2 linked regions of the Oryza sativa Japonica Group genome follow. Each later gene encodes a partner of the first gene's protein in a complex. Links are inferred from orthologs where the notes say so. Each region holds a gene or a part of one and is shown in the gene's direction. Other genes may lie near its edges. The genes, in order: trafficking protein particle complex II-specific subunit 130 homolog and trafficking protein particle complex II-specific subunit 120 homolog.

Region 1 (8,722 bases):
TGGACTTCCTAGGATTCTCTAGTGCTGAGAAAGACAATTCAGAAGCGAGCATAGTTAGTCCAAAAGTAAGCTAAAAGTTGTGCCTAGTAGTCTAGCACAAAGGGACAAAGTGGAAACAGCACTTAGAAGCTCAACAATTTAGACTAATAACTACGAATTTTGTTTCACAAACTAGTAAAACTGTTATTGCGTATTTTGCTTATTGGCATACATCGTGTATTTATTTATTATCCAAACGACCATTATACTTTATTTAGAGAAAGTGTGCAGTCTACACAAACCTATGTAGCCTTTTTTTAACAATCTCAATGTAGTTGCATTCATTGTAATCAAGTTTTCTCGTGGTACAAGATGATGAACACTGTGCACTACATCTGATCATTTTTGTTTGCTTACTCAAATCACAGCATTTCTGTTGTTATATATTTTAGATCATTGGGCATTCAATGGGTGCTGGCATCGCTGCAATATTAGCATACATTCTGCGTGAGAATGAGAAGTTATCATCATCCACATGTCTTGCATTTGGACCAGGTATGCATCATGGAGCACAAGCAACTAGTTTACCATTGTTCACGGACCTTGGAATTGCATTCTTAACATAAGAAAATATATTTCACTAAAAGGCCATATTAGCACCTTACACACCAATATAGTCTCATGGAATGGCATTTGCACGCCTACAATTTAAAAGCTATTAATTAATTGTTATAAAAAAATTCTAGCTTTAACTATTCAGCAATGAACAAATGTTTGAAGGATCTTATGATTTTTACATATTCAATTTTTTTTGGACAAAGATTACATGTCCAATCGATCGCGATGTACATATACATCTGTAGAATAAGTAGAATAACTCCATGTTCTTCTTTTGATTCTACAAAATTATGATGTAGAAATACTTGATGTGAGATAGTAATGCTCCCTGTCCTACTATTTCTGTTCAGCTGCTTGCATGACATGGGACTTGGCTGAGTCGGGTAAAGACTTCATCACAACCATTGTCAACAGAAATGACCTAGTTCCATCTTTTGGCAAAGTTTCTGCTGCCAAGCTCCGTACAGAGGTACCTCTCAGCTACCTGAATTCATGAGCAGATTCCTAAGTATGACGATCAAAACGGGAACCAAGAACTGTATCGCAGATGCAGTTCTTTAGAGCATATCATTTATAAAATTCTTCCCTGCAAACAGTTCTTGGAAGCTAGTAAAAGATAATCATTGCAACATATTTACCGTCGCGGTCATTGATGACAGGTCATGGCATCATCCTGGGTACATGACCTTCGTGAGCAAATTCAGCAGACCAGATTCTTGGGCTTTGTCAATCGCTCTGTGAGCTTCATCCGATCGCACGTGCCATTCGTCTCTGATCCAAGATCCAAGGTTGTAGATGTTGACATGCTGGTGCCCAACAGCTCTGAGGTATGGCAGCTAGATTGTTGCAAACACCAGTTCTTCGAACAAGCTAATCATACTTGTCACCTAAATAGTTGATTCATGATTATTTGGCAGGCTGATCAGGTGAAGCCTTCGTCAAATTCAGATGCTGTGGTGAAGAAACGCCATGCAATAGCTTGCTGGTCATGTGTTGCTGCACATAAGCATTCCATTGACTCTGCAAAACATGGAACTCATGACATCACAAATCAAACTGATGTCAATGTCAAAGCTGAGAAAACTGACATCGAAACGGCACAACTAGTCTCAATTTCCATGGAAGAACTTGACCTTCAAGAATCAGATAATGACGATGATACCGACAGAGGGGAGAATGAGCCAGCTCTCAATGAAACAGACGAAGATCAGGCCGTGGAGCTTCTAGAAACCTTGACCGACAACCCACACGAGCCGTCATCGTCGAGCCAAAGTCAAGATCCCCCCCAGCTCTACCCTCCAGGAAGAATAATGCACATGGTTGGATTGCCATCATCATCAGAGCCAAACAGTACAAGTGAACAAGGTGAGGAGGTCGTTGCCTTGTATGAGACACCTCGACATCTTTACAGCAAGATTCGCTTGGCGAGATCCATGATAAGGGAGCATTACATGCCCAAGTACATCAGGACAATGGAGCTGTTGATCGACAAGCTCGTCGCCGAGGAGGAGGACGGCATCGATGACGACCACAGATTGGGATCATTGTAGCATTGGCTGGTGTACAGAATAATTGTTGTTGTTATTGTTGTACAGATTATGGAAAAGAAAAAAGGCAGCATGGTTTTCAGATTGCTAGTAGCTGTACCATAGTTCTGATGATTGTTTTCATGGTTTGTGGTTAGCATCCAGGAGGCTGTAAACTCCTGATAGATTGTGTTATGATGATTCGCTGTCATTTCCTTTTGACAGCGGCCATCACAGGAAGGGCTAAAGAGCTGAACCTCGTGATGGTTTCTGTAATTCAGAAGCAATTTGTTTGTTTTTAGCTGTGAATATTAATCTCCAAGGAGATAGGCTAATCCATGACATCTCTCTGAAATGCATATGCGTACTAACTTTAATTTTATTTCAAGGATGTATGTTAAATTCAATCTGGGGCTGTGTCATATTTTTCTTCTTCTTTTTAAACTGTCATCTGCAATTCTGCATTAGATCATACCTTTCTTATGTCATGCGAGTTACACAGTTTCGGTCATTCAGACTGTCTTCTTGATCTTTTCATATCTGAGCTTTGTGATGCACCATGAGACATTTAGTTCATGTCGCTGCATTTGATTATTCGTAAATGCACTAAACATCTTTGGTTATTGATTTGACCACTTTTGGGGAATAAAGTGTTAAATGGCACAGAGCTGTTAATATAACTTCGTCTGTTGGGGCAAAATTTTTGGCATATTGAATATAGGACTACAAGTAATAAGTTTGCATCATAACATCTCGTAAATTCGGTCCACAAATACGGGTAAATTTGGCCCTCAAGTGCAAATAAATTCGGCAAAAACTGCGTGTAAGGTAGGCCCATGAGTGCAGTTTCGGCCCAAATTTGCCCGTAATTAGGCCTTAGTAAATTTTGCCCCCAAAATAGGCTTTAAATTTGGCCCAAATACGAGTACAAATCCAGCCCGCAATGCCGGAACCTGCACGTTATTTCAGCCCAAAATCCGCACAAATTTGGCCTAACCACCGCGCAAATTCAGCCCAAAGTATGCTTAAACTTGGCCCAAAAATACGTACCAAGTGTGGGTAAATTCAGCCCGTCACTGCCCTTAAACCCAGCCCATCCGTAGAACAAATCCGGTTCGCAAGTGGCCCCGAATCGGCCAGAGAATTTGGCCCAAAGTTGCGCGTCAATTAGGCCCAGAGAAGCGCGTGAATTCGGCCCGAGCGAGGTCGCGAACTCAGCAGGGCCAGCAGATATCACCACTCATCTAAAGCCTCCCGTGGGAGACTGACACGTGGGCCCCACACGTCAGCCTCTCCGACCCGTTTACCCCGACCCGCTTTACGGCCACAGCCTTCGTCTCGTCTCCACCGAACTCTTCCACTCCTCCGCATCTCGCGATCTCTTCCCCCCCCCCCCCCCCGCGCGCCGCCTCTCTCCGGCGAACCCCTCACCGGCGGCGGCGGCGGGGCGAGTGGGACGCCGCATGGAGCAGTAGGGGACGGAGCGGAGGCTGCGTGAGGTGAAGGGCGGGCGCGGTGGCGATGGCGAACTACCTCGCGCAGTTCCAGACCATCAAGTCCTCCTGCGACCGCATCGTCGTCGCCGGTACGGGTCTCCTCCTCCTCCTCCCTGAACCCTAGAAATGGCCCCGGGATCTGATCCGTCAAGCCGCGCGGCTGGCTCGGCCCGCGTGATCTCGGGGCCGCGGCGATTCGAGCTGGAATAGTGGGTCTAGTTTAGTTAGATTCGCAGTGCAGGTAGTTTGCATGTTTGCGTTTGTGTAAAATTTCATAGTGATTGAGCTCACGAGCAGCAATGGAAGATGCGGGGGGTTTGGTGGTTCCATGATCTGATTCTGGAAGCGTGATGCAGTGCATCACATCGGCATGAAACAACCCGTGTAGGATTCTCCCAAGTATAACTACCCTCATTCACTCACTGCAGCTCAACTTGCTAGCACATTTCTAGCTATGTTGGAAGATTTTCCTTTTAGGGCGTACAGTTTGGAGAATTACATTGAAAATGGGTTTGAACATTAATTGTTTTACTTCTTTGCTGCACATGCTGGTGGAAATGAATTTCAAGTTTGTTTATCTGTGTGGACTTCTTCTTATACATGGTAATTTGCGTTTTGTAACAGTTGAAGATGTGAGTGACTTGTGGCTCAATGTGAAAGAAAGTTTCGAGCAACGCTTACCAGTGAAGAAGGCCTGCCTCAATAACAAGGCGAGGAATCCTGTTTTTGTGGAAAACCTACCAGCTGAGTTTATACAGACCACTGATTCGAGGCTACGTAGTCGATTTCCACAAGATCAATACTTGTTTTGGTTCCGGGAACCATATGCAACTGTTGTTCTTGTCAGTTGCGAGGTACTTTCGTGTCCTCATGCATGCTGCTCTTTCTAATTCTTCTCAAGTAATAATATCACTTCTCAAACGGACCATGTGGATGACTTTTTGCATTCATTTCTCTCTATTGAAATCTCCAGGATCTTGATGAGTTCAAGACCATTCTTAAGCCTCGCCTCAAATTGATTGTGCAAAATGATGAGAGGGAATGGTTCATTGTATTTGTGTCTAAGGCCCATCCTAGCAATGACCAAGCATCTAAGATGGCAAAGAGAGTATATGCTAGGCTTGAGAGCGATTTCAACACTAAAAAAAGAGAAAGGTATTTGTTTGCCAATTCTGCATAACAGTATTGGTAATATTCATATCTTTGACTTTGAAAAATGTAAATGTTTTGGTTGATTCAGTTCAACATGCTATTTGCGGTCATCTTGCACTTATGTTGTTCCTATATGGATGCTCAACCTCCAAATTCCCAAGGAACTTTTTTTGGGACCTTAAGTTAAACTTCACTACAAATAGTATCGAGTTATTAACAGGTTTAAAAAGTATGGCCTTTTATGATGCAGATGCTGTAAATTTGATCTCCATGGACCTGATGCGGAATTCTGGGATGATTTTGACTCCAAAATGGTGGACTGCATTAGAAACACATTGGATAGGCGGGTTCAATTTTATGAAGAGGAAATTCGCAGGTTAAGTGAGCAGAGATTCACTCCGATATGGAACTTCTGCAACTTTTTTATTCTTAAGGTATAACAATGCAACCACGTTTGATGCTTGTCAGTTGAAATTATATTTTTAGTAGCACTGGTTTTATGAACAAACATACCTTTGTTTCATGTGGCTTTCTTGTAATTGATATCATTTATTTGTTTAGGAAAGCTTGGCTTTCATGTTTGAGATGACTAATCTTCATGAAGATTCACTCCGTGAATACGACGAGCTTGAACTATGCTACTCAGAATCAGGTTTTCTCTAACTTCGATGTAGCAGTTATGTTGCATTCATTTTTGAGCTTTGCATCTAGTACATTTGCATATATCCAAAAGCTTTTCTGCCCTAATCAATATAAAGGTCGCGGTATAAGATTTTTTTCAAGAGTGATGAAGTTTTTCATGAATTTGCAGTAACTCCGTACATCTATTCATGCTTATTTGGAGTCTTTGGACTAAGCTATGTTTTTATCGTTGCACAATATGTCATTCACTTCTCATAGAAAATATAGATTTTTATTGAAATCTTAGGTTAGAAATGTTTTTTTTCATGGATAGATTTTATAGTATTAGATAGAGGTTTTAAAAGCTGTGCTTCTGATACCAGATCAGTCAGATGACATTATAAAACATTAATATTGCTTCCAACCATAAACATGTAAAATTGTAAATCTAATTTCCAAGTTTTCCTTGTTCTTTCTGGAGAATAACTGTTTATTTACGAATTTTTTAGTACTTATCATGCTTCGAAACTACCATTTCATCATCATTGACTATATCTCATTCTTTTCTTCTGTCTTAAGGATCTAACTGTGGTGTAAAACTTATCACTTTGCTGCGTAAGTTAGTATATATTATAGAGATATCTAAAATAAAATGTAAGGAATATTGTCTTACAGCATGGTTTGTTATTAGTATTCATAACATTCTGTTCACATGAATGCAGTTAATTCTCCTGGAAAACATCGAGAATTTGGAGGATTGGATACTGGTGATGATCAAGCGGCGCTGCTAAATCCAGGATTTAAAGCATTGACCCAAATTGTCCAGGATGATGTGTTCAGAGAATTTGAGTTTAGACAATACATATTTGCTTGCCAGGCTAAGGTATAAGACATGTCGTAAAAAAATGAGTAACTGAATGCTATTTTTTCCTATGATTTTTTTTGTCAAGTCAGTAATATTTTTTTTCATTCTTACTTCATTGCAATCTGTTCTTCATTGCTGTACTGCTTGGTTCTTTTTTTATTACCAGTTACATGCCCGTACGTTGCAACGGGATCATTAGATTTTTTTTAAGGGTGGTTTTTTTATAAAGAGAGGGAGCATTTTTTTAGAGGAGGAAGGACAACGACTGCTCTTTTAAAGTAGTTAAGATGAGTTGGCAATGTCACAGTTAGAGAATACCATTGTATGTGTCATTGACATGTGTGTCCAGGCCCCACATGTCATTCTCACATACAATTGCAATTTGCAACTCACATATGCCTAGAGTGCTACTGTTTAATGGCGTAGCGGTGCTCTTTATTGCTCAATACAAACATGCACACTGTTTTACTCAAGTGGAACATGTTACATAAAACTAGACATCCAGTGCCAGAACTTTGTTCTGTTTTAGAGCTAGTTCAACTGAACCTTATATATTGCCTTTATACTTTTTCCATTTCACCATTTTGCAGTTATTGTTTAAATTGCATCGCCCAATTGAGGTTGCTGCAAGAGGATATGCTTTTGTGGTTAGCTTTTCCAAGACGCTAGCCTTGCAGGAGGTATGTACATTCTCTGTTTTATTCCTCTACAAGCAAAGTTTATGTTCTAGAAAGACTATATTGTGTGAAGTGTACTCAAGTAATTCTGAATGTGCTTTCAGAATGGTCTACCATTTTGTTTTCGTGAAGTATGGGTGATAACTGCATGTATGGATTTAATAAAAGCAACAACCTCACACTATGATGGTACAGCTGTTGCTATCGACTCAGAGAGGGAGTTCTGTCGTATTCAGGGTGACCTCTATTCTCTGTGCCGTATTAAGGTAAGTTCTGATACTTCTGGTAATTTAATATTGATTTCCCTGCTATATATCGTATTTTTATTCTATTTACGAATTTACATTTTCCCATGAGTTATTGAAGAAGTATGAATATTGGCCATTATCTGGTAGCTTGTTGCTAGGATTTAATGAATGTTGTCTAGAATTCTGTACTTAATGAGGCTTATTTGTTTTAGCATTGATGCATTGTGATTTGTAGAAGTATCTAGTAAGGCTGCGTTTTTTACCTCCCTTTCCCAACCTCCCTCCCTCGTTTTCTGCACGCACGCTTTTCAAACTACTAAACGGTACATTTTTTGCAAAAAAATTCTATACGAAAGTTGCTTAAAAAAATCATATTAATCCATTTTTGAAAAAAAAATTAGCAAATACTTAATTAATCATACAATAATAGGTGCTTCGTTTTACGTGCCGGGGAGGACCCCTCCTCCCGAACACAGCCTAAGTTTAATTGCTTAAATCTAATGTTTCTACTTGTTCCTATTTAATATTGTAAATTAAGTACAAAAAAAGTGGAACAGTAGTGGGAAATAGTATTATGCAAGAGTTAGTTTGTAAAAAATCTTTAAAAAAAGAACTTAATTTTGTACTTGGTCAAGACCAGTTTCTGTTGCTATATTTTTAATCATTTCACACTAGCCGTGCTTTCATTTTTAGTTGTAAATCATTTTGGAAGTTACCTGTCTTCACACAAGTTTCTATTGTTTGATGATTTATATACATTTGTCATAAACCATTTATATTTTCTGTTAATAAGTAATGTTGTTGTTTATTTGTAGTTTCAAATCATTTACTAGTTACATCCTTATCTTCACATTAGTTTCTATTACTGTATTAAGTAATTTAGTCCTGATGAATCATTTTCGGAGTTGCCTAGCCATGTTGTCATGAATTGATCCCGTGTATTCACGGAATCAAGTTGAGGGGTGTATCTCCAGGGAATGACCCACTTGAACCACCCAATTATGTTTAGTGACCTATAGTGCAATTTACTCAATATTTTTAATTCAAATGGAAACTGTGTCTGTTCTTTCTCTTCTTTCTTTTGTACTCTTAACAATATGTGTTAGTTTTTTTATTACAATGAATTTCTTGTGTGCCATCAATCAAGCCCTTTTTCGTTGCTTTGTGAATTACATTTCTCTCAGTTTTGTACTGTACAGAAAACTGTTTGTTTATATGATACTCTTGATGGATATTGCAGTTTCTGAGGCTTGCTTATTTGATTGGTTATGGAGTTGAGATAGAAAAAAGTCCAGTCAACAGGTACTAATCCAGCTCCTCTATTAGATATACTAAATTCAACTTTCCTATTGGTCAATTACCAATTAATAGGTTACTTTCCTCTCTTTTTACATGTCACTGAACAGTGAGACATTGTATCTTGATTGTTTCATGATTCATCATCAATCTTGCATTCAAAATGATATGTTTTGTTGTGTCTGCAGTGCATCTTTAAGCATGCTACCATGGCCAAAGCCAGCTACATGGCCTTCTATTCCAC
Region 2 (7,051 bases), on another chromosome or scaffold:
GCTTCTTTAGTTATAATTATTTGACTGGAAAAACTAGGGTGGAATGGGGGTCTGAGATTGTTGAAAGTATACTTTACTTAGGTTTGTTTTGTCCATTGAATTTTGCTCTTTCTTTATAAGGCGGCAATGTGCCAAGGAGGTGTCAGATTTACTAATGGGCGCTGCCGATGGTGCCAAGGCTCTGATTGATGCCAGTGATCGCTTGATACTCTATATTGAAATCGCGAGACTTTTTGGTACACTTGGTTATAAACGCAAGGCGGCCTTTTTTTCAAGACAAGTTGCGCAATTGTATCTCCAGCAGGATAATGCATATGCTGCTATGAGTGCTATGCAGGTCCTAACCACAACTACAACTGCATACCATGTTCAAAGCAGGAAGACCAGCAAAATGGATCATGGTTTGCTCAAGGTGAGATTTTGAGAGCTTGCAGCATTGAGAATTATTTCCATTATTCAGAATACTGCACCATATTCATATGTTCTCCTCAACTTCTCCAAACATGCCTCGCATTTTATCAACTTGGATACTGCTTTACTCAGTGAAATCATGCCATCATCAAAATGTGCTTTCTTTTTATGCTGGAAATTTCACGGAAATAAACTTTGCTATGCTAGTCACGAGTTAACTGCACAACATTTTGCCTTTTATTCATCTTTATATATTAGTACTCCCTCCGTCTCATTTTAAGTGCAACCATGAGTTTCCATGCCCAAATTTGATCGTCCGTCTTATTTGATTTTTTTTATAATTAGTATTTTTATTGTTATAAGATGATAAAACATGAATCGTACTTTACGCGTGACTTATGTTTTTAATTTTTTTCAAAAAATTTTGAAATAAGACTGACAATCAAAGTTGGGCACGGAAAATCATGGCTGCACTTAAAATAGGACGGAGAGAGTAGTTGCTTTCCTTTTATTTCTGTTGATGTGGTGAGCAGGGTAGAATAAATGTCGTTGACAAGAAATATAACTCAATTTAAGCATTTTAGGACGGGTATCAATGGTTAAGAAAGATACATGAACCCCAATGCAAACTGTATTAATCATGTTAGTAAACATTCCTGCTTTATTAAAGAGCATGTGAGCACTTTGCCAGCATATATTTTTTATTTTATGGTGCTCATCTTGTTATACCAGAAATGATCATTCAGATATCATTCGTTTAATCACACAAAGGACGAGCGTAATTATTATATTGACAAATTGGTGTTGAGTTTATATTTTATTTTACATATAATGATAATGACGTATATTGAATAGTTTTGCATTCATAGCTTTACTGGTTATCCTTATTTGATTCTGGCAATACTGATCCTGGAAAATTGCATCCTCAGTCTGTAGTATCACTATTTGAGTCACAATGGAGTACCCTTCAAATGGTTGTTCTAAGAGAGATACTGATGTCTTCAATCCGGGCTGCGGATCCCTTATCGTCGTGGAGTGCTGCAGCCCGGCTTCTTCGGTCATTTTACCCACTCATCACCCCAGCTGGTCAGAGTGGCTTGGCAAGCTCTCTTTCAAACTCAGCTGATAAGCTTCCATCGGGCACACGTTGTGCCGATCCATGTCTTCCTTTTATCAGGCATGTCAAATTAATGAATACTCTTATTGCTATGTTTGGGGAAACTTAAAATAGATACTGTAGGAGTCCTTTTATTTTGTTGCAAAACTGTAGGAACTACTGTTGAATCAGGAAGAAGATTTTGATCGAGCATGTTTCTTTATTTGTTTTCTGAGTTTTTATTTCTGGTGTCCTTTTTTTAACTCAGGTTGCATTCTTTCCCACTGCACCCTTCACAAAGAGAGATAGTGAAGCGCAATCCAAATAAAAAAGAGTGGTGGACTGGTGGTGGTCCTTCTGGACCTTTTATTTACACACCTTTCACCAAGGGGGGAACATCTGGAACTAGCAAACAAGAGGTAAATTGGATTGTGGGAGAGCCAGTTCAAGTTATGGTAGAGTTAGCAAATCCCTGCAGCTTTGACCTAATTGTTGAGAGCATTTATCTCTCTGTTCATTCTGGAAATTTTGATGCCTTTCCGGTTAGTGTTAATCTTCCACCAAACACTTCCAAATTGGTTCTGTTATCTGGAATTCCAACACAAGTTGGACAAGTATCAATTCCTGGGTGCATTGTTCATTGCTTCGGTGTTATCACAGAACACCTATTCAAAGAGGTCGATTGTCTACTCCTTGGAGCTGCACAAGGGCTTGTTCTTTCTGATCCTTTCAGATGCTGTGGCTCTAGCAAGTTTAAGAGCGTTAACTTTCCAAGCATTTCTGTTGTTCCTCCTCTGCCATTATTAGTTGCCAATGTTGTGGGCGGAGATGGTTCTATTCTTCTATATGAAGGTGAAATCCGTGATGTTTTGATAACACTGACAAATGCTGGAACTGTACCTGTTGAAGAAGCAAATGTTGCATTGTCAGGGAAGAACCAAGATTCTGTTATTTCGATTGCCCATAGCACATGGAAATCTGCACTTCCTATTAAACCTGGTGGAGAAGTGACATTCGCAGTGACTCTCAGAGCCTGGCATCTTAGCCCGACAGATTTGGAAGCAGATGGCAGCAGATCTCCTGCAAACTCAAGGAGGATAGCAAGAGAAGGGAGTAATCCTTTCTTGGATATTCACTATGCTGGTGGGTTCTTGGTGCAACATTCAATTTTATTAGTGCATCGAAGTCACATCAGTTTAACATATTCCCATCCATATGCATCCCTACCAACTGTTTTTATTTATCCTAGATTCAAATGTTTCAGCAAAACACAGTAGGAATTAGCTGTAAGGAATTACCATAGCAGGATAGAAACAGATAGGCAAGTACGAGTAGCTTGTTTACTACTACATCCGTTTCATATTATAGGTTGTTTTGACTTTTTTCCTAGTCAAACCTTTATGTTTGACCTACTTTATAGAAAAATATAGTAATATTTTCAACTCAAAACAAATATGTTATCAAAATATATTCAATGTTACATATAGTGAAACTTATTCGGTGTTGTAAATATTGCTATTTTTTTTATAAACTTAGTAAAACTTAAAGAAGTTAGACTAGGAAAAAAGTCAAAGCGAATTATAATATGAAATGGAGGGAGTATGTGTGTTAAAGCCCCTTGTCAGTTGTTATTTATTCTCTTCGATGATGTTTACAGTATTTCTTTCTCTGAAATGGCGATGCTCACTCTTTAGCCTGTCTTAGAAATGCATAACCAACAACCTTGGCCTTTCTAAGCATAAACAAATGAAATGTGGAGAGTATTCTTTTTTAATGATCAGTTAGGCTGTCTACAGTCTTGAGGAATGAGGACTGAATTTCGACTTTCTGCCATTACAGGTCCTTCAGGGAACTCTGAGAGCAATGATGTTTCTCTCCCACCTGGAAGACGTCTGGTTGTTCCGTTGAATATTTGTGTTGTACAGGGCATGCGACTTGTAAGAGCACGCCTGTTGTCCATGGAATTACCTGCCCGGTTTACTGATGCTCACTTAAGATCTGTCAGTAGCAAGGACAATCTAAGCAATGGCAGTGATGCGATTCGTAATGACATTAGCTTATTGAAGATTGATCCTTATAAAGGAAGCTGGGACCTCCGTCTTCTGGAACTTGAGCTGTTTAATCCTACTGATGTTGTTTTCGATGTTGATGTCTCAGTTCATCTCGATGGCACAAGTGTCGAGCAAAAAATTCTTCCAGAGGATAAAACGGCCAGTTCGGCTTGCCACAAAACTCGAATTGATCGTGACTACTCTGCTAGAGTTCTCATACCTCTTGAGCACTTCAAATTACCTGTTCTTGACACTTCCTTCTTTGTGAAGGAAAATGGAAGTGATGAACCTCTTGGATCCAGAGCTGCCACGTTAGCAGAAAAGAATGCCAAGGCGGAACTAAATGCTTCAATCAACAACTTGATTTCAAAGATAAAAGTGAAGTGGCATTCTGGGAGAAATAGCTCCGGTGAGCTGAATATTAAAGATGCTATTCAGACAGCATTACAGGCATCTATTATGGACATACTGTTGCCTGATCCGCTGACATTCAGCTTTAGACATGCCAAGGATGGAACAACAGCCAAAACTGACTCTTCGAAGGAGCCTGGTGACGGTTCCAGTCGTTCTGCTGATGAGAGTGTTCTGAGGTGTAAGGATCCTATATTTGCTAATGAAATGACCCATATGGAAGTTCAAATTCGCAATAACACTAAGGAAACTATTCGGATGAACCTAAGCATTTCATGCAAAGATGTTGCTGGAGAGAATTGCTTCGACGAAAATAGCGCAACTGTCCTCTGGGCTGGTAATTTAATGATGACATTATCTTTCCTGCTATCCTTGTCTGTTTTGACATTTTGTTTTCTGAAGGCAGCAAATGATCACGGTTAAGGAAGATCACAATATTTACATTTTGATTAGTTTTTGGCTTTCCATTGAACCAATCCGTTAGGTTACAGTTTGTCATTGCATTCTGCCCTTAATCTGTTCATCTATTTACTCACAAATGTCCTTTTTGGTGCAGGTGTTCTTAGTGACATATATCTGGAGGTTCAACCACTGCAGGAGGTAGTACATCCTTTTTCTATCTACTTCCTGGTCCCCGGAGACTACTCGCTGCAAGCTGCTTCTGTTATAATTGACGCAACCGATGTTCTTCGTGCTCGGGCAAAGGCAGAGTCGCCCGACGAACCTATACTATGCCGTGGATCTCCATTCCATATCCATGTAGTTGGTACAGCTTAGCCGGACTTTCTTGGATTTAGTCTAGAGCGTGCCCTGTATCGTGCGTGAGTTTCGTGACATGTGCAGCTGCGAAGATCATGTAGAATTTTTATGCACATCTGATTTATTTGAGCCGCATGAAGGCTTCCCTGTAACACAGTTGTGTTTTGTACAGTGTAAAAGCATAGTGAAGGTTGTTTCACAGACGCGCGAATTTGCTGGTTCTGGTTTCAGCATCTCGATGTAAATTTTTTCTGTCCTACGAAGAATTCCATACGTATGAGCTCTCATTTCTGCCATTAAGAAATGATGGGGATTTAAAAATTTCGATGCATCAATACAAGTTGAAATCCATCAACCATCGATTGTTACTTTTCATACGCATGGATAGTCATTTCTGCCGTTAAGAAATTGTTGGGGTTTTGAAATTTTGATGCATCAATACACCCATCAACCAGCGATTGTTTAATTTCTTTGCAAACAGTGACAAGGACAATAAGGCAAAGGTCAAGTTGTCAAAGAAGGCTGCATCCCTAGTCTTGTGATCAAATCTTTTATATGCTTCTTTTCAATCTTTTATGTTTCTTGGGCGGAGGTCCTCACTGGCATGCATTTGTTTGTTGCTTGAAGTACAGCCTGGCAATCGCCTTGAAGAGCAGGAGCTTCAAGGGAAGCCTTCGCCGGTGTCTGAGCTACTGAAGGTTTGTGTAGAGGCAGATAAGAATGTTTTCAAATTACTAACCTTGCATACTGCAGTCTTATGTTTTGAAATGGACATGATAAAAGTTACGAAATGCTCTGATTGTCTTGACAAACTTGAGCAGTGGCGAAGTCCTACCCCTTTTTGTCCGTGTGCAATTGCAATTTGTAGCTTGCACAAAACTTTCAATGGGTCGTGCAAGATGATGTGAACTTCTGACATTCCTTTACTTTTGTTTTCATGGTCATAAGTGTGCAGGATTTTATGCCCTCCGCAAGTTGCAAAAGGTAGTTATAGAAATAGAACGAAATGAGGCTCGACTGGAGAAAATCGCTAATGTTGCAAGGGCGGCTCTTACGAGGATGAACAATGGGGAGACACTATCTCAGGAGGAGATGAAATCGTACCTTGAAGAAATTATTCGTTTGGCTAGTATCTAAGGAACTGATCCCAGGATAGTGTAATTTTTCATCACCTCTGTAATACTCCTATGTCATACGATGCGTAATCAAACATTGCAAATTTGCAATCATATGCCCCTCCAGCTAGATATTTGGTTAACTGTTTATTTCTTCAACTCTATAAATTAGTTGTACTTATAACATGATGCATTCTGCTTTAATTCTTTAAAGTAAAATATTCTCGTCATTTGAATTCAGAGAGTACCAGCCTGTAGGACGGCTTAGCTTTGGTAGCACGGTAATCAGGCTTACCAAGCTTACGGAGCCATCGTTTCGCTTATTCGCGGAATAAATGAAACGGCATATTTGCAAACGAAAAATAAGTTGTGAATAAAACTTTTATATACGTGTTCTTGGCAGTCTAGAAGTAAAGGCTGGAAAATAAACTTCGATGAAAAAAACCTCAAAATCGACTCCAAATTTAAGGTTGAAAATTAAAATTTTGACTGATAAACATAAGCATAGCTTTTGCTTCGTGTTCGTATAATGTTTGAACTTTGAAGTGACAGAACGAAACAAACATCCTAATCGTAAGGCACTCGCATAGTATAGCGCTCGTTGTGCCGGTGCCGTTCACAATCACACACGTGCAGGCCATGTACTTCCTAGTCACGATTACTGAAATTATCTCAACCAAATTGGGGAGACGAGCTTTTTTTTTTTTTGATAGATCTTCACATCGTCAAGCATTCTACAAACTATATGTTGATTGAATGGGAAAACGATCAGTACACAGACAGACATGGGCGCAGAAACTTCTTAAGATTTTAAGCTTGACAAGTAAAGTCAAGTCAAATTCCTAGTACAGAAAGGTAAACTCTTGTCTAGTCAAGATGGTAGACACGAGAAAGACATCTAGGTGGCATCAAAATCTCATGATCAAAGCTTTCAGAACCCTGAATATCTCCTCATATACATCTTAAGCGGCTGTGAAAACCTTCTTCCCTGCACCACTCTTTGACCCTGCCGGAATGACCTTCAGCACATTGAACCTCACGGTCTTTGACAGTGGCCTGATATTAAACAGATAGTTGAGTAATTTGTGGATTTCTGGGATGAAGCACACAAAATAACTGTACTTTACTTGGCTAAGATTAGAAAATTCATGCTCAAACATTCAGGTTTGTATTCACTGAGGTACACAACATTCACAGGTCAAAGTGAG

The links.
Region 2: trafficking protein particle complex II-specific subunit 130 homolog (region 1) and trafficking protein particle complex II-specific subunit 120 homolog share a complex: the UniProt entries of both Arabidopsis thaliana proteins name them as parts of the multisubunit TRAPP (transport protein particle) II complex. The link is inferred for Oryza sativa Japonica Group from reciprocal best matches to the Arabidopsis thaliana genes CLUB and TRS120.

The regions. Positions count from the first base shown.
Region 1 is NC_089046.1:23,211,367-23,220,088, reverse strand, and holds the start of trafficking protein particle complex II-specific subunit 130 homolog, read left to right. Parts: upstream 1-3,458; 5' UTR 3,459-3,644; coding exon 3,645-3,708; intron 3,709-4,243; coding exon 4,244-4,473; intron 4,474-4,592; coding exon 4,593-4,774; intron 4,775-5,021; coding exon 5,022-5,205; intron 5,206-5,332; coding exon 5,333-5,423; intron 5,424-6,114; coding exon 6,115-6,275; intron 6,276-6,847; coding exon 6,848-6,937; intron 6,938-7,038; coding exon 7,039-7,200; intron 7,201-8,422; coding exon 8,423-8,484; intron 8,485-8,666; coding exon 8,667-8,722. Other genes in the region: uncharacterized protein, read left to right, coding at 432-534, 948-1,066, 1,257-1,424, 1,515-2,147. UniProt on the Arabidopsis thaliana protein: Specific subunit of the TRAPP II complex, a highly conserved vesicle tethering complex that is required for the proper transport of proteins in post-Golgi trafficking pathways to the growing cell plate in mitotic active cells.
Region 2 is NC_089038.1:25,567,687-25,574,737, forward strand, and holds the end of trafficking protein particle complex II-specific subunit 120 homolog, read left to right. Parts: intron 1-120; coding exon 121-412; intron 413-1,340; coding exon 1,341-1,588; intron 1,589-1,775; coding exon 1,776-2,650; intron 2,651-3,346; coding exon 3,347-4,306; intron 4,307-4,525; coding exon 4,526-4,746; 3' UTR 4,747-4,926; downstream 4,927-7,051. Other genes in the region: 40S ribosomal protein S11, read right to left, coding at 6,806-6,899. UniProt on the Arabidopsis thaliana protein: Specific subunit of the TRAPP II complex, a highly conserved vesicle tethering complex that is required for the proper transport of proteins in post-Golgi trafficking pathways to the growing cell plate in mitotic active cells.